Linked DNA regions of Anolis sagrei. The protein of the gene in region 1 purifies or fractionates together with the protein of each later gene. This does not show direct contact. Links are inferred from orthologs where the notes say so. Each region holds a gene or a part of one and is shown in the gene's direction. Other genes may lie near its edges.

Region 1 (8,174 bases):
TCAATCAATTTACCTGTTCTGAACTTATGACCAAACTCTGATTCAGGTGGTTTTAGCTTGGTTGGTATAGTTGACCTCGCTGGCGTTATTGGCTGCATATTTTAATTAATTATTTCATATGAAAGTTACTGTTGTTTATATAATTTATGTGTGATGTTGGCTATGTTGGATTGTTTTCCACATGCAACACTTTGAAAAACAAGCCCTGGAAACAACAACAAAAACGCCCACTATGTGGTTCAGATATGTGAATGACACCTTCACCACTTGGAGCCATGGAGAAGAAGAACTAAACAGGTTCCTGGACCACCTTAACAGCATCCACCGAAACATCCAATTCATCATGGAAAAAGAAAATGAAGGAAAACTGCCTTTTCTAGATGTTCTCGTCATCCGCAAACCAGATCAACAATTGGTTCACAGAGTTTATAGAACACACGGATAGATACCTACATAAAAATTCCGATCATTACCCAAGTAAAAAAAAGAAGCACCATTAAAGCCCTGGCAGACTGTGCAAAAAGAATCTGCGAAAACCATCTCCTCCAAGACGAACAGAACCACCTAAACTGGGGTTTACAGGCCAATGGATACTCCACCACAGACATCAGAAGACCAAGAACAAGGCACGAGAGTAAAGGCAAAGATCCACCCAAAGGAACTATACATCAAGGGAACCACTGACCGCATAGGGAACCTGGTGAGAAAACACAAACTATCTACAGACCTACTAAGAAAATCCAACAAGTGCTACATTCAACAAAGGACAAAAGGGATCCTCTCACCTCTGCAGGAATCTACCGTATACCATGCAGATGTGGACAAGTGTACATAGGGACCACGAAATGCAGTGCCCAAACACAAATCAAGGAACATGAAAGGCACTACAAGCTAATTCGACCTGAGAAGTCAGCCACAGCAGAGCACCTGATGATCTAACCTGGACATAGCATATTATTTGAGAACACAGAAATGTTGGACCCCTAGTTGTTCAATGACACAGAGAAGTCATTGAAATCCACGAGCATGTGGACAATTTCAACAGAAAGGAAGAAACCATGAAAATGAACAAAATATGGCTACCGGTATTAAAAAAAAACTCTAAAATTATAACAGTAAATAAAGAACAACACACAAACACAGGGGAACTCCAGACAAGAAACAATCAGGAATCACCTCTCAATAAAGGATTCCCCCCAGGCAATAACAAGTCACATCTAAAAAAAATCCTGTTAGGCCATCAAATGCCAATCAAGGTGGCCAATTGAAACATTCACACCTAGCTCCAACAGCCAGGGATTCTTTCTCCCACCCTGGACATTACAGATATATAAATTCAATTTTCCTAGTTTACAACAGACCTCACAACCTCTGAAGATGCCTGCCATAGATGCAGGCGAAACATCAGGAGAGAATGCTTCTAGAACATGGCCATACAGCCCGAAAAACCTACAACAACCCAGTGATTCCAGCCAATAAATCCTTTGACAACACACTGCCAACACACTTTGACAACACTTTGACAACACACTTGGGGCGGGGGAGGGGGCAGGGGACTTCCATCTTGTCTCCTGCATATGTCATCAGTTGGGGACCCCTTCCCCCAGCGCTGACTGCTGCTCGGGGTCAAAGTGAGGAGAGAGGGGGCCAGGGGACAGTTCCATCTTGTCTCCTGCATGTCATCATTTGGGGACCCCTCGCCCAAGCACCGGCTGCCACTCTGGGTCAAAGTGAGGAGGGGGGGGCAGAGGACAGTTCCACCTTGTCTCCTCCTGCATATTCATCAGTTGGGGACCCCTCCCCCCAGCTCCAACTGCCGCTCTGGGCCAGAGTGAAGAGAGAGGGAGCCAGGGGACAGTTCCACCTTGTCTCCTGTGCTATGCTAATAATATAATATAATGTAATGTAATATATTGTATATACATATATTTATAATATTATAATGAACTGCAATATAATACTAATAATATAATTATATATTTATATTACATGTAATATTACTAATTATATTACAATATATTATAGCATAGTACAATATAGTAATATATAATACTGACATTGTACTATGCTAATAATATATTGTATGTATATATATCTTGTAAGCTGCTCTGCAGCCCCTTTGGGGTGAGAAGGGCGGCATATAAATAAAGTTTAAATAAATAAATCTTTTGTGAATCTGCCCTGAGTCCCCCCGGGGATAAAGACTGGAATATAAATAAAGTTTTTTATTATTGTTGTTATTGATATTATTGTTATTAAATTAAAAATTAAAATGTCCAAATCACAAATAGGAATGGTGGGACTCAGTTCTTGTGGGTTTTTTCGGGCTATATGGCCATGTTGTAGAGGCATTTCTCCTGACGTTTCGCCTGCATCTATGGCAAGCATCCTCAGAGGTGAGGTCTGCTGGAACTGGGAAAAAAGGGGGTTTATATATCTGTGGAATGATCAGGGTGAGACAAAGGGCTTTTGTAAGTTGGGCTAGGTGTGAATCTTTCAACTGACCACCTGATTAGCATACAATGGGCTGACTGTGCCTGGAGCAAACTCTTCTTGAAAGGTGATTAGATGTCCCTGCCTGTTTTTCTCTCTGCTGTTTTTGCTGTTGCAATTTTAGAATTTTTTAATACTGGTAGCCAGATTTTGTTCATTTTCATGGTTTCTTCCTTTCTGTTGAAATTGTCCACATGTTTGTGGATTTCAATGGCTTCTCTGTGTGGTCTGACATGGTGGTTGTGAGAGTGGTCCAGCATTTTTGTGTTCTCAAAATGCTGTGTCCAGGTTGGTTCATCAGGTGCTCTGCTATGGCTGATTTCTCTGGTTGGAGTAGTCTGCAGTGCCTTTCATGTTCCTGGATTCTTGTTTGGGCGCTGCGTTTGGTGGTCCCTATGTAGACTTGTCCACAGCTGTATGTTGTGTTTCCTCATCAGCTTCCCTATGCGGTCAGTGGTTCCCTTGATGTATGGCAGGAACACTTTTCCTCTGGGTGGATCTTCATCTTTACTCTCGTGGCTTGTTCTTGGTCTTGCAGCTCTTCTGATGTCTGAGGCGGAGTATCCATTGGCCTGGAGAGCCCAGTTGAGGTGGTTCAGTTCATCTTGGAGGAGGTGGGGTTCACAGATTCTTTTTGCACGGTCTGCCAAGGCTTTAATGGTGCTTCTTTTTTGACTTGGGTGATGGTTGGAGTTTTTATGTAGATATCTATCTGTGTGTCTGGGTTTTCTGTAAACGGTGTGACCCAATTGTTGATCTGGTTTACGGATGACTAGGATATCTAGAAAAGGCAGTCTTCCTTCGTTTTCTTTTTCCATAGTGAACTGGATGTTCGGGTGGATGCTGTTAAGATGTTGGGAGTTGGAGGAATGGTGGGAGTTGAAGTTCAAAAACACCTGGAGGGCTCAAGTTTGCCCAGGCCTGGTATATAGGAATTTTAATTATGTTGAAACCTGCCTTCAAGAGGTGAGGCAGGCAACACATAAATAATAATAATGACGATAATAATAATAATAATAATAATGCGTTGTTGTTGTTGTCACTCTCCCAGTGGAGATGACTCTATGACTCTAAGACGACACCAAATTGGGAGGGATAGCCAATAGTCCAGAGGACAGGAGCAGAATTCAAAACGATCTTGACAGATTAGAGAGATGGGCCAAAACTAACAAAATGAAGTTCAACAGTGACAAATGCAAGATACTCCACTTTGGCAGAAAAAATGAAATGCAAAGATACAGAATGGGTGACACCTGGCTCGAGAGCAGTACGTGTGAAAAAGATCTTGGAGTCCTCGTGGAGAACAAGTTAAACATGAGCCAACAATGTGATGTGGCGGCAAAAAAAGCCAATGGGATTTTGGCCTGCATCAATAGGAGCATAGTGTCTAGATCTAGGGAAGTAATGCTACCCCTCTATTCTGCTTTGGTTAGACCACATCTGGAATATTGTGTCCAATTCTGGGCACCACAATTCAAGAGAGATATTGACAAGCTGGAATGTGTCCAGAGGAGGGCGACTAAAATGATCAAGGGTCTGGAGAACAAGCCCTATGAGGAGCGGCTTAGGGAACTGGGCATGTTTAGCCTGAAGAAGAGAAGGCTGAGAGGAGATATGATAGCCATGTATAAATATGTGAGAGGAAGCCACAGGGAGGAGGGAGCAAGCTTGTTTTCTGCTTCCTTGGAGACTAGGACGCAATGGAACAATGGCTTCAAACTACAAGAGAGGAGATTCCATCTGAACATTAGGAAGAACTTCCTGACTGTGAGAGCCCTTCAGCAGTGGAACTCTCTGCCCGGAAGTGTGGTGGAGGCTCCTTCTTTGGAAGGTTTTAAGCAGAGGCTGGATGGCCATTTGTCAGGGGTGATTTGAATGCAATATTCCTGCTTCTTGGCAGGGGGTTGGACTGGATGGCCCATGAGGTCTCTTCCAACTCTGTGATTCTATGATTCAGGCTTGTGGGCCCAGACAGGAACTTCAGGCGCAGGCAGCGCTGGGGGCGGGGCTTCTTCTGCCAAGAGGCCCCGCCCCTTTCCGGGGTCCTCGCGAGCGGCTGTTTGGCCTCGTCGCGAGCTCCGCCTCCCATTGGCTGCTGCGTCGCAGGAAGCAGCGAGAAAGAGAGCCATGATGGCGGCGGCCTGAGAGAGCGAGCGAGCGAGCGAGCGAGAGTGAGAGTGAACGGAGACCCCTCAGCCCGCAACCGCCGCCATGGCGGAAGACGCAGAGCTGGAGAGGTGGGTGAGGCCTGCGCGGAGGAAGGGGCAGGCCTGGCGGTTGCTGCTCCCTTGGCAGCCGAGGGATTTGGCCTTGACTGGGAACGCCAAGAAGGTCCTACTAGAGGCTTCCCAGCGGCCTTTAGTCGCCCGATCTTTAGGGCCTCGGTATCTTAAAGGGACCGCACCCCATTATTATGACTATTGCAGTATATTTATCCCATCAGGTCTTGGAAGCTAAGCAGGGTCTGACCACTTGCGAATGGTAGGTGCTGTTTCAGGAGGAAGGGATTCACACAACTATGAAGGTGTATCTAGAATGAGTGCGGTTTGACATCTCTTTAACTGCCAGGGAATCATAGGGGTTATAGTTTGCTGAGGTCCTAAGACAGTGGTTCTCAACCTGGGGGTCGGGACCCTGGAGGGGTCACTAAAGATCACCAGAAAACACAGTATTTTCTGTTGGTCATGGTGGTTCTATGTGGGAAGTTTGGCCCAATTCTGTCATTGGTGGGCTTCAGAATGCTCTTTGATTGCAGGTGAACTATAAATCCCAGCAACTACAACTCCCAAGATATCAAGGTCTATTTTCCCCAAATTCCACCAGTATTCACATCTGAGCATCTTGAGTATTCGTGCCAAGTTTAGTCCAGATCCCTCATTGTTTGAGTCCACAGTGCTCTCTGGATGTAGGCAAACTACAACTCCAAAACTCAAGTCAATGCCCACCAAAATCCTTCCAGTATTTTCTGTTGGTCACGGGAATTCTGTGTGCCAAGTTTGGATCAATTCCATCATTGGTGGAGTTCAGAATGCTCTTTGATTGTAGGTGAACTATAAATCCCAGCACCTACAACTCCCAAATGTCAAGGTCTATTTTCTCCGAAGTCCACAAGTGTTCACATTTAGGCATACTGAGTATTCTTGCCAAGTTTAGTCCAGATCCATCATTGTTTGAGTCCACAGTGCTCTCTGGATGTAGACGAACTACAACTCCAAAACTCAAGGTCAATGCCCACCAAACCCTTCCAGTATTTTCTGTTGGTCATGGGAGTTCTGTGTGCCAAGTAGAGTTCAGAATGCTCTTTTATTGCAAGTGAACTATAAATCCCAGCAACTACATCTCCCAAATGACAAAATCAACCGCCCAACCCCACCAGTTTTCAAATATGGGCGTATCGGGTATTTGTGCCAAATTTGGTCCAGTGAATGAAAATACACCCTGTGTATCAGATATTTACATGACGATTCATAACAGCAGCAAAATGACAGTTATGAAGTAGGAAGGAAAATAATTTTATGGTTGGGAGTCACCACCACATGAGGAACTGTATTAAGGGGTCGCGGCATGAGGAAGGTTGAGAACCACTGTCCTAAGAACTCTTTGGCAAAGAAGACCATGCAAAACCACAATAATAATAATAATAATAATATGATGATGATGATGATGATGATGTTGCAATCCCAGGTGACAGGATTGAAGAGAAACAACTGGAATAGCAGAAACTATATGAGGATTTAAAGATCGAACTGCAAAGACTCTTGCACAAGCCAGTAAAGGTGGTCCCAGTAGTGATCGGCACACTGGGTGCAGTGCCTAAAGACCTTATAATAATAATAATAATAATAATAACAATAACAATAACAATAATAACAATAATAAACTGGGGACTCGGGGCGGGTTACATGAGGCCAAGCCCAACAACATATTACAATAAAGTAAAACCAAAATACAATAATAACACAGTAAAATACATACAACATATGAGTTCAAAGACAATAAAGCAAAATCATACACCGTAAAATAAAATAACATAACAATGAGTGGGCCGCATGTGCAAGATAAAAACTTGATACTAAAAATACTAAAATCAGGATGAGATAGGGATAGAGTAGATTGTTCGTGGGGGAGAAACTTGTAAAGGAACAGGGTCATAAATATAGACCTTCATTCAGGTGTGGAAATATACTCTGGGGACAAAAACCATTGAGGGGAAGCAACTGTGTATGATAATATGGCTACTCTCCAAAAGCGCATTGGAAAAACCAGGTTTTGAGATCCTCCTTGAAAATTTCCTAATCTCACCGGGCAATGAGTTCCAGAGTCAGGGGGCCACAGAGGAGAAGGCTCTCGCCTTTGTACTTACAAGATGAGCCTGAGATAATTGCCTGGCCTGCGCTTAAATACTATTGGCGCTGACAAAATTACCATCTGCCAGCTGCAGAAGGCCACCTTACTGGGATCTGCACGCATTGTTCGCTGATACATCACACAGTCCTAGACACTTGGGAAGTGTCCGACATGTGATCCAATACAACAGCCGACAGAGTGATCTTGTTGTGTTTCAAATAATAATAATAATAATAATAATAATAATAATAATATAATGAACTTTATTTATACCCTGCCACCATCTCCCCAAAGGGGACTCAGGGTGGCTAACAAGTGGCCAAGCCCAAGAATTACAATCAAGCAAAATAAAATACAAACAAGCAAATAATAACAACAAAATAAAATGCAAAACAATAACAAAATATGCAATAAAACAATGCAAAATAAAATGGTAGAAAAATTAGCGCACAGTGGACGGGCCAAATTCAAAGGGTAAAATTTATAAAACCCTGGGTGAGATGGATAAATGGAGTAATGTGTCTGAAGGGAGACTCAGAAGGGGTGATCGCATTGAGCCATGGCAGTGTCAAACTGCATTAACTCAGTAGTGAAGATGATGATGATGATTATATATCTTTATTTTTGTCCTGCTTTTCTCCCTAATGGGACCCAAAGTAGCTCACAGCGTAGGTAAAGGTTTCCCCCTGACATTAAATCTAGTCATGTCCGACTCTGTGGTGTGATGTTCATCTCCATGTCTAAGCCAAAGATCCAGCATTGACTGTAGATGCCTCCAAGGCCATGTGGTTGGCATGACTGCATGGAGCGCCATTACCTTCCTGCCGGAGCGGTACCTATTGATCTACTCACATTTGCATGCTTTCAAACTGCTAGGTTGGCAGAAGCTGGGGCTAAGAGGGGGAGCTCATCCCGCTCCATGGATTCGAACTGCCGACCTTTTGGTCAGCAAGTTCAGCAGCTCAGCAATTTAACCTGCTGCACCACTGGGGGCTCAACATAATATAATGCAAATCACATTTAAGATAAAATACAAGACAAAAATCACACAAAGCATAATAATGGCCAGAAATAAGATAGAAATATATATTAAGCATATATATTAACCAATTACAGTTATTGTAGAGACTCATCAGTTAAATAGTATATTTTCACAATCAACCTTGCTGTCTTTAGCAATTGAATTCATTCATCAAAAGGTTGCTTGGACAGGTAGGTTTCCAACGGGTTCTTGAAAAATAACAGGGCAGGAGCAGTTTTAATCTCAATGGCGAGAGAGTTCCAAAGGATCAAGGTGGTTACCGAGAAGGCCCTGTCTCATTGCCAACAACCAT
Region 2 (8,290 bases), on another chromosome or scaffold:
CAAAGAAATGTGCTACCATTAGACAGCCTTGTTTCTCTTTTGTGCTACCGGATTTCTCTCTAAATCCAATAGGTCATAGGAGAGAACAACATTATCTGTTAATAATAGCCATATGTTTAGAATAAGAATGATTCATCTAGTGATGCAATCTGTGACTTCTTCTTAGAACACAAAATTGTTTTACATAATAAATATTTTACTTCCAGTTTTTTAGGGGGTGGGGGGAGTTGTGCCTTGGGTATAAACCATCTTGTGCTTGTGTGGAAAAATGCCCCCTTAATCAGTAGAAGGTATAAAAGCATATTTCCTGTAAATAAATCTGAATAAAATTGTGTATCAGCAGGGTATTCTTCATCTGGTGGTGGCCCATCCTTAACAGGGCAAAATTGCCTCTATCTCCATTCTGAAAGGAAGGAACACAGATCCTTGTTATGGCTTGACAAGGTACATTCTTCAAATGTAGCCAATGGTAGCAACCATTCCTCAAAAATAACGAGGGCAAAAACTGGTTAAGGGGGCTACAATTCAGTACATGGGGCCAAATCCTAATGCAAAATAATAATAATAATAATAATAATAATAATAATAATAATTTTAGATAAAGAATAATAAGGCTGACACTATACTTTGGAATATACTTGCCTTGGATCTCTAGATGTTTAGCCTACTTACACTTTTTAAGTAAGATTTGAAACATCAGCCCAATGGGTCTTCTCCAGGTGAGACACAAAGCTCAGATGGGATCTGAAACGGAGATTCAACAACAAACAACAACTTTGGCCAAAGAATGTACCGAGCCCCAGCACAGCTTCTGTCCAAGCTACTCGCAGCCGAGATAAAGTTTATTTCAAGTGTCAGTATTTTATAGAGTGATTTCTAAGGCATATGCGGTAATCCTTATCTGAGGTCTATGTGACCAGGACGGAATGTTTTTAGGATTTCTTGTTGGAGGACGTCTCAGGGTCTGGCACTGTATATAACCGTAACATCTGGGCACATAATATTGTGGTTACAGAATTACTTGCATAACACAAATGACAGATATTAGTAAACAATGCAGGCTATGGGAAGAGACAACTATTGTCAAAATGGAGGTGGCCAGCCTCCCTATAACATATCAACATACAGCGGAATCTTTAATCTCTATTTTACACCAATATCACCAGCCTTAATCAAGACAGCAGATTGTGAGAGATTTGGGGATATGTATTCCCAAAGAACTGAAAGGCAAAAGGTACCCCTTGCTCTAAAGTTAAATAATTTGGGGACACCATGAAAGCTTAAGGAAGAACTACTGGAAATGCCCAACACTAGAGTCTCAAAAGGTAATATGAAGAACAGCCAAAAACAAATGGAAAGGAATGCAAGTTTCTCTCAAAACTGTTTAGGTCGCAACAGCGAACACTGTTAAGATTAATAGGAGCAGTTAAGACCAAACTTTGCGCAAACATTTTGAATAATGATGTGTTTGTTTTCATATTAAACTTTGGGGAATGAATCCCTTTACACTATTTTACTTGGGTTAAACATTGCTTATATATTCAAAGCTCAATTGTGCCACCTGGTGACTACTTCCTAAATTTACTTTTATTATTCATTACCACTTTTGGTTTGCCTGTACATAAAACTAAATGTTTCTGATAGTGAGGCCTGTTCCACACAGCTGAATAAAATCCCACATTATCTGCTTTGAACTGAAATATTTGGCAGTATGGACTCAGATAACCCAGTTCAAAACAGATATTGTGGGATTTCCTGTCTTGATATTCTGGGTTATATGGCTGTGTGGAAGGGCCCTGAGACTCCATTTTTTCTAAGACTTTTTATAACCGCCTGGAATGCTTCTCCTCCTTGTCCTCTGTCCAGCTAGATACCTTTTAGGAGCACCAACATTAGGAGGATGCTGAAGAAGAGCTGGAGAAACATTGAGTTGCAAGAGCATGTCTGTAGTAAACAATGCAATGAAGCCTGAGCTGGAAAAAATAGAATAGTTCTCCCATTTCTACTATTGGAATTGTATGAGCTTGCCTACGACTGACAAGGTAAACACTAGTTGCTTCCAGAAGCCTTCACTTAAACATCAATGAATAGCAAAACATAGAGGAAAGAGGAAAGATAACCTTGAACCCATTTACACTGCCATAGCGTGCAGTTCAATTGTGTAGATTCATATAATGCAGTTTAACTCTATTATTGCATTATATGAGTTTACACTGACCATTCTGTGGTGGAAGTTCCTTCTTTGGAGGCTTTTAAACAGAGGCTGGATGGCCATATGTTGTGGGTGCTTTGATTGTGCTTTTTCTGCATGGCAGAATGGGGTTGGATTGGATGCCCATGAGGTCTCTTTGAACTCAGTGATTCTATGGCAATGTAGATCCAACTTCACCAACCCGTAGCCAGGATTTTGAATTTTTTTGGGGCGGGGGGGGGGGGGGGTGAGTCTGAGTGAAAGAGGGTTTACCCTAGCAAATCTTTTGTATTGTTACCCCAATACCTCCATGCATATGGGATATATTGAGCATGTACCAGTAAGGCCTTCTTGCAGACCACCATGAGAATTTCGGGGGGGTTGAAGCCCCCCCCCCCCCCGGCTACATGCCTGAGCCTCAGCAACTCCCAAAATGTACTAAAGACCATCAAAATAAAAATCATATTTTTATCATCTGTTTCCGGCACAATTCAAAGTGCTGGTTATGACCTTTAAAGTCCTAGACGGCTCAGGTCCAGGCTATTTGGCTGACCACATCCCTTTGTACAAACCTGCCCTGGCACTGAGATCTTCAGGAGAGGCCCTTCTCTTGGTCCCACCTCCATTCAAGCGCAGTTGGTGGGAACAAGAGTGAAGGCCTTCTCGGTGGCTGCGTCTCGACTCTGGAACTCCCTGCACAGGGAAGCCAGAATGGATCCCTCCCTGCTGTCCTTCAGGCCTCAGGTTAAAACCGTTTTATTCAGGCAGGCTTTTAAAGAGGAAGGGTTTTAAGCTCATCAGGGGCTGCTGTGATTTTGTATGCTTTTAATTATGTTTAATACTGTTTTAATACTTGTACATTTGTCTATTTTAAGTTGTATTGCAATGCTTTTAGTCGTGAACTGCTTTGAGTCTCCATATGGTGAGAAAAAGCAGGATATAAATAAGTATAAGAAAATAAAGACCATACACACAGCCATGTAACCCAGAATATCAAGGCAGAAAATCCCACAATATCTGCTTTGAACTGAGAGCCCTTCCAGACAGGCTCTATATCCCAGGATCTGATCCCAGATTTTCTGTTTTCTGGCAGTCCGGACTCATATAATCCAGTTTAAAGCAGAAAACCCGAGATCAGACCCTGGGATATAGGGCTTGTCTGGAAGGGCTATCTGAGCCCACACTGCCATATAACCCAGCAAAAAGCAGAAATGTGGGATTTTATTCAGCTGTGTGGAAGAGGCCTAAGAAGAAGAAAAGTGACTTTTGTGAAACTGCCTGGATGCCTTTTGGGTCTTGGAGATTCAAACTGTTTTGGCTGGATCTACACCGCCATATAATCCAGTTTCAGGATGCCAATTAACTGCATTGAACTGGATTTAGGCCTCTTCCACACAGCTGTATGAGGGGCTGAGTTTGATTCAAGGGGGGGGGGGGCTGAAGATCTACCCTTGCAAACCTTTTGTCTCGTTATACCAATAGCCCCATGCATATGGGATATATTGAGTATGGTGATCAGATCATGATATGAGTAAACATAACAGTTTAAATAATGTACCAGTAAGGCCTTCTCACGGAGCACCATGAAATTTTTTTTTGGGGGGGGGGGTGGCCTTTGGGAATTTCAGCCCCACTGCCTGCCATCTGTGCTGCCTCCGAAAAATCCTGCAAATCTCTTGGGAAGACAAGCGGACAAACGTCAGCGTGCTGGAAGAAGCAAAGACCACCAGCACCGAAGTGATGGCCCTTTGCCATCAACTCTGCTGGACTGGCCACGTTGTCCGGATGCCTGACCACCGTCTCCCAAAGCAGTTGCTCTACTCCGAACTCAAGAAGGGAAAACGGAATGTTGGAGGACAGGAAAAGATATTTAAAGATGGGCTCAAAGCCAACCTCAAAAACTCTGGCATAGACACTGAGAACTGGGAAGCCCTGGCCTTTGAGCGCTCCAGCTGGAGGTCAGCTGTGACCAGCAGTGCTGCAGAATTTGAAGAGGCACAATGGAGAGTGAAAGAGAGAAATGTGCCAAGAGGAAGGCGCGTCAAGCCAACCCCAAGTGAGACCGCCTTCCACCTGTAAACCAATGCCCTCACTGTGGGAGAAGATGGAGGTCAAGAATAGGGCTCCACAGTCACCTAGGGATCCACAAGAATACTGATCCTGGAAGACTATCCTACTCGTCCAAGGAGGGATCGCCTAAGTAAGTATTCTGGGTTATATGGCTGTGTGGAAGGGCCCTGAGAGTCTACTGTGTATACAAATAAAGATATTCCAAATCTGGGTGGAGGGAGGGGGAAAATCCCAAACACTTCTTGTCTGAAGCCTTTCAGATCAGGGATGTTTAAGGCGTATTTGAGATCTTTGCAACCTTCCACACAGCTATACCCTTTTCCTCCTAGAAGTGGGCGGAGCGAAAGGAGCCAAGCCACTCCCAAGATGGCGGCCGCATCACCCTCACCGGAAGAGAGGCAGAACCACTTCCGCTTAGGGCTGTCTCCCAGTCTGGAGGGAGGCCTGACGCTTGTGTCGACTGCGTCAGCGTCATCACAGGGCGACGGGAGGGAGCGCGAGAGGCGCCTCGTGCGGGGAAGGGGGAGTGATCCCCGAAGACATTCGTCGCAGAAGGCGCGATGGCGGCGGAGACAGACGACGAAGGCGCGGTCCCAGTTCCGGCGGCGCTTCCTCCCTTCGGCGCCCAGCTGCCCTCTTTCGAGGCGGCGCGGGCGCTGACGGAGAGTCGCTACTCCTGCCTGGTGGTCATGCCTCATCGGAGGCACGTCGCCCTCCCGCCGCGCTTCCTCCACCGGAAGCGGACTGGGATCTGCCTCCAGTTGGACGCCGAGCTGCGCCGCTTCTCCGAGAGGTCAGGGCCCGGGCGGCGCTGTCGTGGAGGCCTCTCTTAATCCCCACACAGAGGCCTCAAGGCTGGTCTTGGAAAATTTAAACACTTTATAGCAGGCAGAGGCAAACTTGGGCCCTCCAGGTGTTTTGGACTGCAACTCCCACCATTCCTAACAGCCTCAGGGGGAAAAGGAAAGGGCCTGAGGCTGTTAGGAATGGTGGGAGTTGCAGTCCAAAACACCCGGAGGGCCCAACTTTTCTCCTATCTGGCCTAAGTCCAATTTTTTAGATAAAGTTTCAGTGGAGGCACCTTTTTGCCATGATAACCCTTTCAGGAGTGAATTTTCCTTCCTAGGGGTACTTTTCCCTCACTGTTGTCTTGCCCCTGTTCTTAATTATGTTTGTAAGTTGGGGGCTGCTTGTATATCATTTAGTGCTTATATCACATAGACATTATTATTATTATTAACTTTATTTGTACCCCGCTAGCATCTCCCGAAGGACTCGATGCGGCTTACAAAGGCCAAGGCCTCAAAACACAACATAACAATACAACACCTAAAGCAAATTAAAAACAGTTAAAGCAATATTAAACAACAAGTGATAAATAATACATCAAGACACTATAAAACTGGGCCAGGCCAGAGTAATGTTTACAAGGTTAAAAGTGCTGATGTGACAGGTGATATGTAAGGATTGTAGGGCAAGTGCAGTGTGCGGTGTGCAGCAATCTTAGTTCTAATAAAGTGCTTCTGGGACTTGTTATTGGAGTTTCCTATTCTGGAAAGGCACGTCGGAACAGCCAGGTCTTCAAGTTCTTTCTAAAGACTGCCAATGTAGGGGCCTGTCTAAGATCTTTGGGGAGGGTGTTCCAGAGTTGGGGGGCCACCACAGAAAAGGCCCTGTCATGCGTCCCCACCAAACGCGCCTGTGACGCAGGTGGAATCACGAGCAGGGCCTCTCCGGATGAATATTTATAAAATACATGTTTATAAAAGACCCCATAGACTGGATCTAAATGCAGACAGTTCTACTTGGGGCTCTTCCACACAGCCGTATAACCCAGAATATCAAGGCACAAAATCTCCCACAATATCTGCTTTGAATTAGAATATCTGAGTCCACACTGCCATCTAGTCCAGTTCAAAGCAGATAATGTGGGATTTCCTGCCTTGATATTCTGAGTAATATGGCTGTGTGGGAAATTAAGTCATGAGTAGGACATTACCTTGAAAGCGACAGGTCTCGTCTGATCTTGGAAGCAAAGCATTGTCAGACCTAAGGGCCAGAGGTTTAGCACAGCTGGTAAATCACCAGCAATTATAGGATCTATCAACTGAAAGAGTGCAAGTTTGAAGCCCCAGGTCAGTGTGAGCTGCCGACGGTCAGCCTAGCTCATTGCTTACCTAAGCAATTCGAAAACAGCTTTAGCTGTAATTAGAGAAATTAGGTACCGCTAAAAGTGGTGGTGGTGGTGGTTATGACACCATAAAGAAGATCAGAAAATGTTGGCGACCAAAAAGGAAGGAGGAAGTTGTGACGGCTTTTCGTCTTAGAGGATAGAGCAACAGTATCCCTGGACTCCAGTCCAACCTTCCATGGCACCAAAAACAGCTGGACACTGCATCGAAACAAACCACCTCCTTCTGTTCTGACTGTGTATTGTCTGTACAGAGCAGCATTGAATGTTTGCCGTGTATATGTGCTGTCATCTGCCCAGAGTCCCCTTCGGGGTGAGAAGGATGCAATATAAATAAAGTGTTGTTGTTATTATTATTATTATTATTATTATTATTGCAAAGCCTAGAGAAGACAATTATGCTGGGGAAAGTAGAAGGTAAAAGGAAGAGGGGCCGACCAAGGGCAAGATAGATGGATGGCATCCTTGAAGTGACTGGACTGACCTTGAAGGAGCTGGGGGTGGTGACGGCCAACAGGGAGCTCTGGCGTGGGCTGGTCCATGAGGTCACGAAGAGTCGGAGACGACTGAACGAATGAACAACAACATTATTATTACATGGATATAGGCATATATTGACAGAAGATTTGAAGGCATGCACACACATAGGGACCATTGCGAAAGGTGATGATGGATGATGTGACTTGGAGAGATATATGGTATTGTATCACTTCTTTAGGAAAGATCCTCAAGGGTAGGACCCTTTAACTCATAGCTGAAATCGTCTCTATATCATTTTAAGTAATTCTGGTAAACAATGCTACTCATATGCTAATGAAGGTGGTCAGCTGAAACATTCACACCTAGCTTCAGCAGAGAGCTCTTTGCCCCACCCCAGTCATTCCACAGATATATGAACCCATTTTCCTATTTCCAACAGACCTCACTACCTCTGAGGATGCTTGCCATAGATGCAGGCGAAACGTCAGGAGAAATGCCTCTAGAACATGGCCCTATAGCCCAAAAGAACCTACAAGAACCCAATGCTACTCATATCTGAACTTTTTTCCCCTTATAAACTCCACAGCTAGGTCTCTCTGTAGTTACATATGCGCGCACACACATACATGAATTCTGTAATCAAAAGTACCTGTTCTTGTTTCTACATGACACTCAGAAGAGGGCCAGGCAATCTTATCTGTGCAAACATTCTGTAAATAGGATTTGATCTCTTTTACTCTGGAAATCATTCATTGTTTTTCAGTGTATGTGTTGATAGCTTTCTTTATTTCTTGCAGTTTCCAAGGTGTCCCTGTGGCGTATGATGATATCAAAATAACCAAAGAACTGGGAGATATAATAGATGACATTGGGGCTATCCATCTGGACATTGAAGCAAGTTTTGTAGTCTTTCAGCCTCAAGCTGGAAGAAAACTTGTGGTATGTAGACAAAGAAAAAATATATTTCTAATGAGTATAATACAGCATCTCCATTGATGAGTACAACTACACTGAAAAATCTAATCACTGAGTGCTTGAAGTTAACTGATTTACTATTGTGTGTGATAGCTAAGCCTTTTTAAAGCAGGCTTTAAAAACAAAACAGTTTAGTTATACAAATTGAATATTCTGTATCTGACATTTGTGGAACCAGAAGTGTTTTGAATTTTGGATTCAGGAATATTTGCATATAATGAATTCTTTTGGAGATGTGAATCAAATTTTAACACATATGCATTTATATTTCAAAAACACTTTGCACTCATAGTCTGAAAGTAATTTTATACACAATATTTTAACTGATTTTGTGCATGAAACAAAGTTTGTGCACATTGAATCACCAGAATAAAAATGTAACT
Region 3 (7,900 bases), on another chromosome or scaffold:
AAGGATACCATGATCGATGGTATCGAAAGCCGCTGAGATGTCCAAGAGAACCAGCAGAGTCACACTCCCCCTGTCCAGCTCTCTGCGGAGGTCATCCACCAAGGCGACCAAGGCTGTCTCAGTGCCATGACCAGGCCTGAAACCAGACTGTGACTGATCTAGGTAGTTGGTATCGACTAGGAAACCCTGGAGCTGAGAGGCGACCACCCTCTCCAGCACTTTACCCAAAAAGGGGAGGTTGGAGATCGGCCTGTAGTTATTCAGCACCGTGGAGTCAAGGGAAGCTTTTTTGATAAGTGGGCGAACCACGGCCTGCTTCAAATTAGATGGAAAAATTCCTTGCTCCAACGATGCATTGATAATCGGTACAAACCAGTCAAGCAACCCCCCTCTGGCTGATTTAATGAGCCAAGATGGGCATGGGTCAAGAGATGAGGTGGTCGCTCTCACAGCCCCAAGAATCTCCTCCACGGTTTCAGGAAGAACAAGCCTAAAAGAATCCCACAAGGTTGGACAAGCAGGTGCCTCCGTCACCTCTCCTGGCACTGCGATGGAATTGGAGTCGAGCTCAAGACGTATCTGGGCGACTTTACCTGCAAAATGGTGTGCGAAATCGCGACACCGAGCTGCAGGGTCATCAGCGACCTCCTCCACCGCAGGTGGGTGGAGGAGTTCTCCCACGACCCGAAACAGCTCCGATGATCTATTTGCTGCAGATGCTATACGAGCGGTCGTGAATGATTTCCTGGCCACCCGTATAGCCACGGAGTATGCCTTAAGAGAGGCTCTAGCCCGTGTTCGATCAGACACATCTCGAGATTTCCTCCATTTGCGCTCTAGCCCCCTTCTCGTATGCTTCATCACAGCCAGCTCCTCGGTGAACCAAGGAGATGGCCTGTCACGACGCAACGAGATGGGGCGTTCAGGTGCGATCGTATCTAACGCCCTGGCCATCTCCCCATTATAGAGAGTTACCAAGGCGTCGATAGAATCGCCAGACTCCAAGGCAGGAAGAACCCTAAGATTCCTCAGGAATCCGTCCGGATCCATCAGTCTCCTAGGGCGGACCATCTTAATTTGTCCTCCACCCCTGCGGAGGTTTAGGGTCGCAGTAAGTCTAAATGTGATCAGGTGATGGTCAGACCATGACACTGGAAGGATGTTTTGATCTTCCACTCTGATCATTTCGTTGTCCGCCACAAAAACAAGGTCAAGAGTGTGTCCAGCTTGATGAGTGGGGCCAGATATTATCTGTGACAGCTTTGTAGCCATTTAGATGGTTCTGGGTAGCCCTCTCACTATTACTCACTCATTCATCTGGTTCTCTCACCGCCAGCTGTTAGGAATTGTGGGAGTTGAAATCCAAAAACACCTGAAGGGCCCAAGTTGGCCCATGTATAGTGCAGATGCACCCTAAGTGAGGCCATTGAGGAGAACTCTCCAGGGTGCTGAATTCTTGGACCCTTACAATGGCACAGGCTGCAGACTCTGGAAATATTGTGCATTAAGCATCCATTGAGTCCCCTTGGGGAGATAGAGCGGTATATAAATAAAGTTTTATTATTATTATTAAGCTCTGGCCTGGTCCATGAGGTCATGAAGAATTGGAAGCAACTGCACGAATTGTAGGGGCAAAAAATATATATATGGGGAGGACGAGGAAGGACTTCACAAAAGCTGAATCTTTAAACTGCAAAAAACAAAAACAAACTATTTATTGCTTGGCTATAGCAATAATGACAAAACATGCATTCAGGAATGCAATCAAAGGGTTTGTTGCAACCCCCAATGGGGCTGTAGAGCTTTTATCATTTTTAGCATACATATTCTAATTGGTTCCCAAAGACAAATAATGTCATGGGTCTAAGCTAGCTGTACAGTTGCTCATTGGTGGTTTATGATTTTGATTGACATTATAGCACACGTGGGATCCTAACAATGGCCCAACTATAGTCTATTGTTCTCAGAACATGACTGTCTTAATAAATCAGTCTTATCTGTTAGTCTGTTGCAAACATGGCTCCAGAGCGACTGGGAAACTTGGGGGTTCAAACTAGCCACCAGCTAGTCGGTTTTGTCCGGATGTACTGTTATCCTTGAAAAGTAACTTCCTCTTTGCAGCACTGATTTCTCAAACAATCAGCATTTCTGTAAACAGATCCCAGTAAGGTGGTCTTCTGCAGCTGGCAGCTGGTAATTTTGTCAGCGCTGATTGTGTTTAAGTACAGGCCAATAGGCACTGCACCCAGTGTGCCAAGGTCTTTAGATACTGCACCCAGTGTGCCGATCACCACTGGGACCACCTTGGCTGCCTTGTGCCAGAGTCTTTGCAGTTCGATTTTTAAATCCTCATATTGTGTCAGCTTTTCCAGTTGTTTCTCTTCAATCTGGCTGTCACCTGGGATTGCAACATCAACAATCCATACTTTGTGTTTTAACACAATCGTAATTATTATTATTATTATTAAGAGCACGTTGGTTTTCTTGATGTTCAATGATCACTGTCTCCTAAAGCAGTTACTCTACTCCCAACTCAAGAAGGGAAACATAATGTTGGTGAACAGGAAAAGAGATTTAAAGATGGGCTTAAAGCCAACCTTAAAAACTGTGGCATAGACACAGAGAACTGGGAAGCCCTGGCCCTTGAGCGCTCTAACTGGAGGTCAGCTGTGACCATCAGTAATGCGGAATTCAAAGAGGCACAAATGGAGGGCGAAAGGGAAAAACGTACCAAGAGGAAGGTGCTTCAAGTCAACGCCTTCCCTCGAAACCGATGTCCTCACTGTGGGAGAACATGTGGATCAGGAATAGGGCTCCATGGTCACCTATGGAACCACCAACAAGACACTACACTTGGAGGGCCATCATCCTCGGGCTATGAGGGATCGCCTAAGTAAATAAGTTCAAACATCAAGAAAGGAGATTCCATCTGAACATTAGGAAGAACTTCCTGACTGTGAGAGCCGTTCAGCAGTAGAACTCTCTGCCTCAGAGTGTGGTAGAGGCTCCTTCTTTGGAAGCTTTGAAACAGAGGCTGGATGGCCATCTGTCGGGGCTGCTTTGAATGCGATTTTCACAATACACTTGGAAGTCCATCATCCTCGGGCTACGAGGGATCGCCTAAGTAAGTAAGTTCAAACTTCAAGAAAGGAGATTCCATCTGAACATTAGGAAGAACTTCCTGACTGTGAGAGCCGTTCAGCAGTAGAACTCTCTGCCTCAGAGTGTGGTAGAGGCTCCTTCTTTGGAAGCTTTGAAACAGAGGCTGGATGGCCATCTGTCGGGGCTGCTTTGAATGCGATTTTCACAATACACTTGGAAGTCCATCATCCTCGGGCTACGAGGGATCGCCTAAGTAAGTAAGTTCAAACTTCAAGAAAGGAGATTCCATCTGAACATTAGGAAGAACTTCCTGACTGTGAGAGCTGTTCAGCAGTGGAACTCTCTGCTTCAGAGTGTGGTAGAGGCTCCTTCTTTGGAGGCTTTTAAACAGGGGCTGGATGGCCATCTGTCGGGGGTGCTTTGAATGCGATTTTCACAATACACTTGGAGGACCATCATCCTCGGGCTACGAGGGATCGCCTAAGTAAGTAAGTTCAAACTTCAAGAAAGGAGATTCCATCTGAACATGAGGAAGAACTTCCTGACTGTGAGAGCCGTTCAACAGTGGAACTCTCTGCCCCGGAGTGTGGTGAAGGCTCCTTCTTTGGAAGCTTTTAAACAGAGGCTGGATAGCCATCTGTCGGGGCTGCTTTGAATGCGATTTTCACAATACACTTGGAAGTCCATCATCCTCGGGCTATGAGGGATCGCCTAAGTAAGTAAGTTCAAACTTCAAGAAAGGAGATTCCATCTGAACATTAGGAAGAACTTCCTGACTGTGAGAGCTGTTCAGCAGTGGAACTCTCTGCCTCAGAGTGTGGTAGAGGCTCCTTCTTTGGAAGCTTTTAAACAGAGGCTGGATGGCCATCTATTGGGGGTGTTTTGAATGAGATTTTCCTACTTCTTGGCAGGGGGTTGGACTGGATGGCCCATGAGGTCTCTTCCAACTCTATGATTCTAAGTGAGCTCCCTCACACACCTCCCTCTCTTGTGAGGGAAGCAGCTAGTGCCTACAGAGCCCTCAATACAGATAAGAGATTTCCGGAAGTGATCAGCGCACGGCATGCCGGGAGTGGGCGGTTCTGTTTATGCACCGGGGAAGGTGGAAACTGCGGAGGCTGATTGGCTGTTAAGAGTTCGAAGCATGGACTCAGAGTTCCTGATTGGCTGTTACAGTTCCTGGTTGGCTGTTCCGGTTCCTGATTGGCTCTTGGAGTTCTTGGCTTGGCTCTGAGAGTCCGAAGCATGGAGGCCGCGTGCAAGTGGCGAGGGTTGCCCGGCGCCCCGAGTTTGAAGCCCTTGACGGCGCCGGAGCGCGGCCTTCCTCGAGAGAAGCAGCGGCAAGCCCTGCAGGATGTCACCCGGGCCCACGTGGAGTCCTTCGACTTCGCCACCGGGGATGGGCTGCTCCGGGCCGTGCAGGTGAAAGGAAGGAAGGAACGGGGGGAAAAAGGGAGGCCTGGCCTGGCCTGTGGGTGCAGGTTGCTGCCAACCCCACTGAGGCTGGGCCTACACTGGCCTATATCCTGGATTATCTGCTTATCCCAGGTTATCTGGCGGTGTAGAGCAGACCTAGGCAAACTTGGGCCTTCCAGGTGTTTTGCACTTCAAATGATTTTCTTACAAGGTTCTTGTGGGTTTTTTTCGGGCTATAGAGCCATATTCTAGAGGCATATTTTCTCCTGACGTTTCGCCTGCATCTATGGCAAGCATCCTCAGAGGTAGTGAGGTCTGTTGGAAATAGGAAAATGGGTTTATATATCTGTGGAATGGCTGGGGTGGGGCAAAGAGCTCTTCCCTGCTGGAGCTAGGTGTGAATGTTTCAACTGACCACCTTCATTAGCATTTGAAGGCCTGGCTGAGCCTGGGAAAATCTTTTGTTGAGAGGTGTTAAGATGTGCCTGGTTGTTTCCTCTCTGCTGTTTTGCTGTTGTAATTTTAGAGTTTTTTAATACTGGTAGCCAGATTTTGTTCATTTTCATGGTCTCTTCCTTTCTGTTGAAACTGCCCCATCCCAGCCATTCCACAGATATATAAACCCATTTTCCTATTTCCAACAGACCACAGTACCTCTGAGGATGCTTGCCATAGATGCAGGCGAAACGTCAGGAGAAATGCCTCTAGAACATGGCCCTACAGCCCGAAAAAACCCACAAGAACCTAGTGATTCCAGCCATGAAAGCCTTCGACAATACAATTTTCTTACAATCTATCCAGAGATATGATGACATGTCCTTAGAACTGCAACATCAATGTCTTATTTTATTTATCTACTAGCCCTTCCCTGCCACGCGTTGCTGTGGCCCAGTCTGTGTATATGTGTTTTGTGTGTGTATATATTTGTGCATATGTGTATATATGTGTGTTTGTCTATATATGTGGTTCTGCGCATGTGTGCAGTGGCCCAGTCTGTGTGTTTTGTGTGTGTATATATTCGCATTTATTTATTTATTTATTTACAGCTTTTATATTTATGAACCCACGCGTGCACTTCGTTCATCTGGTGAGGCCCTGCTCGTGATTCCGCCTGCGTCACAAGCGCGGCTGGTGGGGACACGAGACAGGGCCTTTTCTGTGGTGGCCCCCCCGACTCTGGAACACCCTCCCAAAAGATCTTAGACAGGCCCCTACATTGGCAGTCTTTAGAAAGAACTTGAAGACCTGGCTGTTCCGATGTGCCTTTCCAGAATAGGAAATCTCCAATAACAAGTCCTCGAAGCACTTTTAGTAGAATTAAGATTATTGCACACCGCACACTGCACTTGCCCTATAATCCTCGTATACCACCTGCCACATCAGCACTTTTAATCTTGTACCCATTACTCTGGCCCGGCCCAGTTTTTATTGTGTCATGATATACTGTCTATTGCATGTCGTTAATATTACTTTTACTGTTTTTAATTTTGCTTTTGGTGTTATATTGTTTGTGTTGTGTTTTGTGGCCTTGGCCTTTGTAAACCGCATCGAGTCCTTCGGGAGATACTAACGGGGTACAAATAAAGTTAATAATAATATCCCGGATTATCTGCTTATCCCAGGTTATCTGGCGGTGTAGAGCAGGCCTGGGCAAACTTGGGCCTTCCAGATTTCTTACAATCTACCCAGAGATGTGATGACCTGTTCTTATGACTGCAACATCAATGTCTTACTTTATTTATCTACTGATTAGAATATTAGAATCATAGAGTTGGAAGGGACCTCGTGGGCCATCCAGTCCAACCCCCTGCCAAGAAGCAGGAAATCGCGTTCAAAGCACCCCCAACAGTTCAAAGCATCCCCAACAGATGGCCATTGTACTATACTAATAATTTAATATATTGTATGTATATGTATATCTTGTAAGTCGCTCTGAGTCCCCTTCGGGGTGAGAAGGGTGGCATAGAAATGTCATAAATAAATAAATAAATACACTATAGGAAATTCCATCACACAGGATTACACAATTTATTATTTCGGTTTCTTCTACCCCGCCCTTCTCACCCCGAAGGGGACTCAGGGCGGCTTACAAAGGCACAATTCGATGCCAACATCACATAACAGTAGTAAAACAAAATAACATCAATTAAACAGTTGAAACAGTCAAACAATTCCTGCATTACAGCCCTAAAACCAATAAAACGATACAAACCTAATTACTCCTCATAGACGGTCAGCGTTCACTATCTCATAGCCCAAATTCCAATTCCACATTGTCAGTCCTAGTCATTTGATTGTCCTTATCTAGTTGTCAAATTGCCCAAAGGCCTGGTCCCACAACCATGTCTTTACTTTCCTCTTGAAGGAGAGGAGGGATGTTGATGCCCTAATTTCTCCCGGGAGCGAGTTCCACAGGTGAGGGGCCATCACCGAGAAGGCCCTGCTCCTCATCCCCACCAGCCTCACTTGTGATAGCGGTGGGGTCGAGAGCAGGGCCTCCCCAGATGATCTCAGACTCTGGGGTGGGACGTAGAGGGAGATACGTTCGGACAGATACACTGGACCGGAACCGTACAGAACATTCTCTGCAGGTTTTTTTTTCAAACTTCCAACTTCAAAACATATGTTGGTATATTCCTGGAGTTATTTGGGGCACTGATTCAGAAAGTTGAATTGGAGAGCTCTAGTTTCTTACATATGGTCATCATTATTTTCTCTTGGCAAGCGGATGAAGAGTGGCAGATGGCATGTTCTGTATCGCAAAAGCTAGAGCTAATAGGGGGAAATTGGTGCCATTTTTAGAATCAACAGGACAGATATACCCAGAAACTGGTCTAACATTTGAGGCACCAAAATGTATGTTGAGCAATGTATGTTGAGTCGCCTGAGGGCTGAGAAAAGCGGTATATAAATGAAGTAAATAAATAAATAAAATTATATCTGGAGTTCTTGCTTGCTCAGCCACACCGAGATTCCTCTGCAATGCATTCCTGCAGGGGAATTTTGGGTAGATGTTCCAGCATACCCTCCATTTTTATTTAAAGCAGGTATGGGCAAACTTCGACCCTCCGTGTGTTTTAAGCACTCAGGGGGAAAAGGAAAGGGCCTGAGGCTGTTAGGAATTGTGGGAGTTGAAGTCTAAAACACTTAGAGGGCCCAAATTGGCCTAGGGCTGTTCTAAATGAATTGGATCTCATCCTATGACAAGGAAATGAGCCCTTCCAGCTTATTGTTTCGACTGCTGCTAGATTTCTAAATCATTCTCTTCATCCAGTGAACCTTCCTTCCTTCCTTCTAGGCCATTCCGCCTTTGGAGTTTGCTTGCAAGAACACACGGATCACTTTGGCCATTACCAGCGCCGTTATCAGCCCTCCAATGGTT
Region 4 (7,290 bases), on another chromosome or scaffold:
ACTGGTTCTCAACCTGTGGGTCCCCAGATGTTTTGCCCTTCAACTCCCAGAAATCCTCACAGCTGGTAAACTTGCTGCGATTTCTGGGAATGGTAGGCCAAAACACCTGGGGACCCACAGGTTGAGAACCACTGGTTTAACCTATTACGCCACCGGGGGCTCCTTGAAGTACAATAATACTAATAATCCTCAAAATGACTATATTTGTGTCCAGGCTTCTCTCATGTCCCTGTATGGAGAGCTGGAGCTGACAGAGGGAGCTCATCCACGCTCTCCCCAGATTCAAACCTGCAACCTGTCAGTCTTCAGTCCTGCCAGCACAAGGGTTTAACCCATTGCACCACTGGGAGCTCCTTCACTATGAAAACACCTCCCCAAGTGCTACTGGGTTACTGATTGAAAGAGCATGTGTTGAGGGGACTTCCTGGTGGGAGGGGCTTAGCATAGCCTTGGTCTTCTATGGGGGGAGCGCTGGCCAAAGCCCACAGAGCTACGCTTGACCCAAAGCAACATTCTTAGCAGTCATAGAATTGGGGCTTCCTTCTCAGCTTGGCTTTCTGCGACCACCCTAACCCTCTACAACAACTTGGGATTCTGTATAAAAGTGTAAACAAGCAGTTACTACTCAAGCTTTATTACAAATCCAACAGATGATGCTTAATCCCTTGCACCCACCCTCTGGCCAGCACTGGTCAGGAAGGCTCCCAGCCCCGTTCAGGGAGAGGGACCTGGCCCTGCCCTCCAAACGGAGAAAGGCAGGCAGGCAGGTGCCTCTGGTCCCCTGGTTAGTACCTGGGCTTCAGGGGCTCATGGGAAGCCTCCCCTCGGATGCTCCTATAGTTCCCAAGAGGGCCTCTTTCCCTTCAAGGCCATGCAGAGGCTTGCCTGGGGACTCACTTCCGGATCTTTTTCACAAAGGTGACTTCATCCCGGTTGCGGATGCCATACCTGGGGAAAACGTTGTGCACATTAGGACTCCTCCTCTCCCAGGGACTCAGGCCCTCAGAAAGGCCCACAAAGAGGGTGGCAAGGCAAAGGGGGTGAAGGACTGCAGCCAGAAGCCTCGGGCACCTCCTTCCTCAGCACGTAGCACACCTGCCCCCCACCTGGCTGAGCCTGGTCCCACTGCAAGCAGGCCAGAGTATGGGCATGGGATCCACAAGGGGTACCAGGGCACCACAGACTCACTCTCTCAGCTTCTTCCGGTCGTCTGTCAGCTTCTCTCCACCGAAGGTCAGGCAGTAGGTGCGCCACAGGTATTTCCTGTCAGGTAGGGAGGAGAGGCTTAAGGACAAGGAGGAGGGGTGGAGCTGGCTCTGCCTGACCTTGCCCCCTCCCCTCTCCTGCCCCACGGAAGCAGGACCCACCAGCTGATGTGCTGGATGCCCCCCTCACGCTCCTGCCGCAGCTGCACAAACCGCCGGAGGGCCCTCTTCAGGTCCAGGATGCTGGCATTCTGCACCACCACCACCGCTGAAAGGAGAGAGGGAGTATTTAGTATTTATTTATTTCAAACACTTGTACCCCGCCCTTCTCAACCCCCGTAGGAGGACTCAGGGCGGCTTATAGCCAGCACAATTAGATGCCCCAACAAACGAGAATACATACAGTAATTACATATGAATGATACAGTGTGTAAAGTAAGTAAAACTGATAAGTGAGTAAAACTTTATTTCTATCCCACCCTATCTCCCCAAGGGGACTCAGGGCGGCTCACAACAAACAAGGCAGTTCAATGCCATAAAAAATACAACAAATTCAAGAAGACAATACAACACATTCAACAATCATACAAATCAAAACAGAAGCAATAATAATAATAATAATAATAATAATAATATAAATGCTCTGTGCATAATGAGTACCTTAAAAACAAAACAATCAATGAACGAAATCCACCAAATTTGGCAACAAAACATCTCACAACACAAGGAGTGACCGTCACTCAAAAATTATGATTTTGTCATTTGGGAGTTGTATTTGCTGGGATTTATAGTTCACCTACAATCAAAGAACATTCTGAACTTCATCAACGATGGAATTGAACCAAACTTGGCACACAGAATTCCCGTGACCAACAGAAAATACTGGAAGGGTTTGGTGGGCATTGACCTTGAGTTTGGGAGTTGTAGTTCACCTACATCCAGAGATCACTGTGGACCCAAACAATGATGGATCTGGACCAAACTTGGAACAAATATTCAGTATGCCCAAATGTGAACACTGGTGGAGTTTGGGGAAAATAGACCTTGACATTTGGGAGTTGTAGTCACTGGGATTCACAGTTCACCTATAATCAAAGAGCATTCGGAACCCCACAAATGACAGAATCGGGCCAAACTTCCCATACAGAACCCCCATGACCAACAGAAAATACTTAAGGCCATCCAAGGCCATTTTCCAGATCAACAGACTGGGCCACAGCAACGAGTGGCAGGGGACAGCTAGTAATATATATATATATATGCCAGCAATGACTTGAGGAACTGCAAGTCGCTTCTGGTGTGAGAGAATAGGCCGTCTACAAGGACGTTGCCCAAATGTTTTATCATCTTGTGGGAAGGTTCTTTCATGTCCCTGCATGGGAAGCTGGAGCTGACAGACGGGAGCTCACACCACTCCCTGGATTCGATCCACCGACCTTTCGGTCAGCAATCCTGCTAGCACAAGGGTTTAACCCAGAGGTCCTCAAACTTTTTAAATCTTAGGGCCAGGTCAAAGTCCCTCAAACTGTTGGCGGGCCGGATTATAATTTCATAGAATCATAGAATCAAAGAGTTGGAAGAGACCTCATGGGCCATCCGGTCCAACCCCCTGCCAAGAAGCAGGAATATTGCATTCAAAGCACCCCTGACAGATGGCCATCCAGCCTCTGTTTAAAAGCTTCCAAGAAGGAGCCTCCACCACACTCCGGGGCAGAGAGTTCCACTCAAGAACATGAATGAATTCCTACGCACAATGAACATATCTTATTTGTAGTGCAAAAAACACTTAAAAACAATACAGTAATTAAAATGAAGAACAATTTTAACAAATGTAATCTTATTCGTATTAAAATTTATTTTTATTTACAGTATTTATATACTGCCTTTCTCACCCAGCCCTGGGGGGACTTCAATGGGAAGTGTGGGCCTGCTTTTGGCTGATGAGATAGGATTGCTGTTGTTATTGTGTGCTTTCAACACGTTTCAGACTGAGGTTGACCCTGAGCGAGAGCCAGGTAAATAACCTTGGAGGGCCGTATCTGGCTCCCTGGCGTTAGTCTGAGGACCCCTGGTTTAACCCATTGCACTGCCGACAGCTCTAATAACAAGTTAAAACAATATCAATAAAACAAGGGCTCAGGGTCGGGAGAAAAAACTCTTGTCTGTTTCAGGCAGTAAGCAGCCAGACCTTGAAACTGCACGGCCATTAAATGCTAATCAAGGTGGCCAATTGCAACCTTCCCACCTGCCTGAAACAGACAAGAGTTTTTTCTCCCACCCTGGGCATTATTCCACAGATATATAATCCCCATTTTCCTAGTTTTCCAACAGACCTCCCCACCTCTGAGGATGCTTGCCATAGATGTGGGCGAAACGTCAGGAGAAATTGTACTATACCATTATATTGTAATAATATTAGTAATATTACATATAAAATATATTAAATATATAATAATAACAGTAGTAGTATGTTATAGGAGGGAAGGAGGAGAGAGCAGGAGAGGCGCCTCACTATTTGGGCCACTAGGCCCCGCCCACAGAGGGCCTCACCATTTGGGCCATTAGACCCCGCCCACGCCTCTGAGGCCCCGCCCACGCCTCTAGGCCCCGCCCACAGAGGGCATTACTATTTGGGCCATTAGACCCCGCCCACGCCACTGAGGCCCCGGACACACATCTAGACCCCCGCCCACAGAGGGCTTCACTATTTGGGCCACTAGACCCCGCCCACGCCTCTAGGCCCCGCCCACGCCTCTAGGCCCCGCCCACAGAGGGCGTCACTATTTGGTCCACTAGGCCTCGCCCACACCCCTGAGGCCCCGTCCACGCCTCTAGGCCCCGCCCACAGAGGGCATTACTATTTGGGCCATTAGACCCCGCCCACGCCTCTGAGGCCCTGCCCACGCCCCTAGGCCCCGCCCACAGAGGGGCCCCACTATTTGGGCGATTAGACCCCGCCCACGCCTCTGAGGCCCCGCCCACGCCTCTGAGCCCCGCCCACAGAGGCGCCTCACTATTTGGGCCACTAGGCCCCGCCCACGCCTCTCCTGGCACTTACGCATTGGTGCCTCGGGGGCGTCGGCTCTGCGCACGCGCACTGTCATGGCTTGCCCGTACTCCAGCGCCACTTGCGAGCTGATCTCCTCGGGGGTCACCTGGGAGATAGGGAGAGAGGGAGCGGGTGAATGACAGGCCCATGTCCCGCCCTTCATCGTATGCCCCGCCCCTTTATTATCAGGCTCCGCCCCTTCTATGTTGCCCACAAACAATGCCCCGCCCCCTTCTCTGTAGGCCACGCCTCCCGCCCAGTGCCCAGCCCACCTGAACTGGGAGGTCACAGAGCAGCGGGTCCTGGACCAGTCGGGCGAGTCCTTCCTGCCAGAGCTCCAGCACGTCCGCGTGTGCTTCCTCCTCCTCCTCTTCCTCCTCCATCACGCTTCCGGTTTGTGAGGGGAGAGCGGAAACGGAAGGTGAGGAGAGAGGATGCTGCTGTTCTGCCCGGCCTGCGGGAACGTCCTGGTGGCCGAAGAGGGGCCGCGCTGCCACCGCTTCGCCTGCACTACGTGCCCCTACGTCCGCAACGTCACGCGCAAGGCACGTCAAGGGGCGGGGCCGCTCCCTCTCTCCTTCCCTCCCTCCTCCTCCTCGGCCTTCGCTCACCTTTCCCCCCCTCTTTCCGTTGCTAGGTAACAAGCCGGCGCTACCCGAAGCTGAAGGAAGTGGACGACGTGCTGGGCGGGGCCGCGGCCTGGGAGAACGTGGACTCCACGGCAGGTGCGTCACCGAAAGGGGCGGGGCCTGGGAGAGCGAGGGGGCGGGGCTAGGGTTAGCAAGTTTAGTAGCTCAGTGGTTTAACCCACTGTGCCACCATTGGCTCCATTAATAATGATAATAATAAGGATAAGATATTAATGATTGAAGAGGAACAACTGGAAAAGCTGACACAATATGATTTAAAGATTAAACTCTGGTACAAGCAAATCCAGGTGGTCTCAGTGATCGGCACACTGGGTGCAGTGCCTAAGACCTTGGCCTGCACTTAAACACAATCGGTGCTGACAAAATTACTATCTGCCAGCTGTAAAAAAGCCACCCTACCTCTGAGGATGCTTGCCATAGATGCAGGTGAAACATCAGGAGAAAATGCTTCTAGAAAATGGACATATAGCCCAAAAAAACCTACAACAACCCAATTAATAATAATAATAGAACTGCAAAGACTCTGGCACAAACCAGTCAAGGTGGTCCCAATGGTGATCGGCACACTGGGTGCAGTGCTTAAAGACCTTGGCCTGTACTTAAACACAATTGGGCTGACAAAATTACCATCTGCCAGCTGCAAAAGGCCACCCTACTTGGATCTGCACGCATTATTCGCTGATACATCACACAGTCCTGGACACTTGGGAAGTGTCGACGTGTGATCCAATAAAACAGCCAGCAGAGTATTTGCTGTGGACTCATCTTATTGTATTTCTAATAATAATAATAATAATATAATTTTATATTTACAATAATTCCTTCCTTGCCCCACAGAGCCCTGTCCCAAGTGTGAGCACCCGCGCGCCTTCTTCATGCAGCTCCAGACGCGCTCTGCCGACGAACCCATGACAACCTTCTACAAGTGCTGCAGTCCCCAATGTGGGCACCGATGGCGGGACTGAGGGCGCAGGGTTCAGGTGGGGCCAGGGCCTCCAACCCTTCCTACCTCTAAGCCAGTGGTTCCTAACCTGTGTTCCGTGGACCACCAGTGGTTCGCAAGAACTAAAATATGTTCCACGGCCTCACTGTTACTGCAACATTGCAATGAGAGCTAATGGTCGTGAAACCCTCTTATAGTGCCGATACTTATTAAATATGGTTTTCTGTGAGCAAGCAGATGGCGACTACTGGATGGCATACGTTCTGTATCAGAAATTAGAGCTGATGTGGTCTATCCAATGCAATTATCTGAATCAGCACCCCAAATAAACAAACCGAACCTAATGTTGACCAAAAACTGATTCGTAACCCTTTTGGTACTAATGTTGGAGAGTGGTCCCTAGTCAAAGTGGTCCCTAGTCAAATAAAGTTTGGGAACTATTGCTCCGGGCTGAGGAATTTGGGGCTTTGAGGGCCTGAGGCTGGGATGGGGGCTGCAGCATGCTCAACACAGGAAATAATAATAATAACAACAATAATCTTTATTTATACACTATGGGTGTATTGTTGTTGTGTTCGGGCATTGAATATTTGCCTTTTATGTTTGGAATCTGCCCTGAGTCCCTCTGGGGAGATAGGGCAGAATATAAACAAAATATTGTGTCAGTATCATCTTTATTTATATAAAGACACCACATCTGGAAGACTATCATCCTCGAGCTATGAGGGATGGCCTAAGTATTTATATTCCACCCTATCTCCCTGAAGGGACTTAGGGTGAATTCCAAACATAAAAAGCAAATATTCACCAGGTATTGACACTTGATGCCACAGCAACATTATAGGAGAAGGGACTCTGTAAAAGAGACACTCTTGCTTTATTTACAAAATAGGAGGTGGCTTCCAAGGGATCAGGGCCCCCCAGCCGAGCCCCATTTGTTCCAGTTGGTCTCGTAGGGGAATACTCTCCCCATCTTGAGGGCAGCTTCCAGGCAGGGTTCATAAAAGGGGGCCTCTTCCTCCTCTTCGCTCAGCCTGCGGGGAGCCCATGGGGGATTCTCCTCCTCTGGGGCAGGGGCCGAGAAGAGGGAGACCGGCCGCTGGGGGGCCAGGCAGCGCCTCCGGATGCAGCCCAGTGACTCCAGTCCCTGCAGAGAGAGGGAGGGAGGGGGAGAAAGCCATTTTGGGGGTCTTGAATAGAATAGGAATAACTTTATTGTCATTGTACATCGTACAATAAAATTAAATGCCACCCCAATGCTCATTATATATGTAGAATTACAAAACATCCATCCTTACACATTTTAATCACTATTGCACAGCCCTAAATGCCACATATCAGTGTAAAAACATAGAGCCCAATATAGTCTCAGCTCCAGGATAAAAGCTCTCTCTCAGCCTATTTGTCCTTGTTTTTATCATCACATCCCATCTGCCAGATGGT

The links. Proteins that work in one complex are often made in the same cells at the same time.
Region 2: the proteins of POLR1D (region 1) and POLR1F purify together in Homo sapiens (affinity purification with mass spectrometry; 3 studies listed by BioGRID and IntAct, counting the BioPlex papers as one, with this or other methods). This does not show direct contact. The link is inferred for Anolis sagrei from reciprocal best matches to the Homo sapiens genes POLR1D and POLR1F.
Region 3: the proteins of POLR1D (region 1) and POLR1B purify together in Homo sapiens (affinity purification with mass spectrometry; 5 studies listed by BioGRID and IntAct, with this or other methods). This does not show direct contact. The link is inferred for Anolis sagrei from reciprocal best matches to the Homo sapiens genes POLR1D and POLR1B.
Region 4: the proteins of POLR1D (region 1) and POLR3K purify together in Homo sapiens (affinity purification with mass spectrometry; 3 studies listed by BioGRID and IntAct, with this or other methods). This does not show direct contact. The link is inferred for Anolis sagrei from reciprocal best matches to the Homo sapiens genes POLR1D and POLR3K.

What each region holds. Positions count from the first base shown.
Region 1 is NC_090023.1:31,193,512-31,201,685, forward strand, and holds the start of POLR1D (protein POLR1D), read left to right. Parts: upstream 1-4,547; 5' UTR 4,548-4,704; coding exon 4,705-4,730; intron 4,731-8,174.
Region 2 is NC_090026.1:94,694,563-94,702,852, forward strand, and holds the start of POLR1F (DNA-directed RNA polymerase I subunit RPA43), read left to right. Parts: upstream 1-4,691; 5' UTR 4,692-4,821; coding exon 4,822-5,054; intron 5,055-7,729; coding exon 7,730-7,871; intron 7,872-8,290. UniProt on the Homo sapiens protein: Component of RNA polymerase I (Pol I), a DNA-dependent RNA polymerase which synthesizes ribosomal RNA precursors using the four ribonucleoside triphosphates as substrates.
Region 3 is NC_090021.1:24,391,576-24,399,475, forward strand, and holds the start of POLR1B (DNA-directed RNA polymerase I subunit RPA2), read left to right. Parts: upstream 1-4,301; 5' UTR 4,302-4,347; coding exon 4,348-4,524; intron 4,525-7,816; coding exon 7,817-7,900. UniProt on the Homo sapiens protein: Catalytic core component of RNA polymerase I (Pol I), a DNA-dependent RNA polymerase which synthesizes ribosomal RNA precursors using the four ribonucleoside triphosphates as substrates.
Region 4 is NC_090035.1:14,606,999-14,614,288, reverse strand, and holds POLR3K (DNA-directed RNA polymerase III subunit RPC10), read left to right. Parts: upstream 1-4,688; coding exon 4,689-4,799; intron 4,800-4,891; coding exon 4,892-4,979; intron 4,980-5,741; coding exon 5,742-5,869; 3' UTR 5,870-6,191; downstream 6,192-7,290. Other genes in the region: SNRNP25 (U11/U12 small nuclear ribonucleoprotein 25 kDa protein), read right to left, coding at 894-948, 1,189-1,263, 1,368-1,473, 4,264-4,360, 4,527-4,637; general transcription factor 3C polypeptide 1, read right to left, coding at 6,758-6,994. UniProt on the Homo sapiens protein: Core component of RNA polymerase III (Pol III) which synthesizes small non-coding RNAs using the four ribonucleoside triphosphates as substrates. Can mediate Pol I proofreading of the nascent RNA transcript.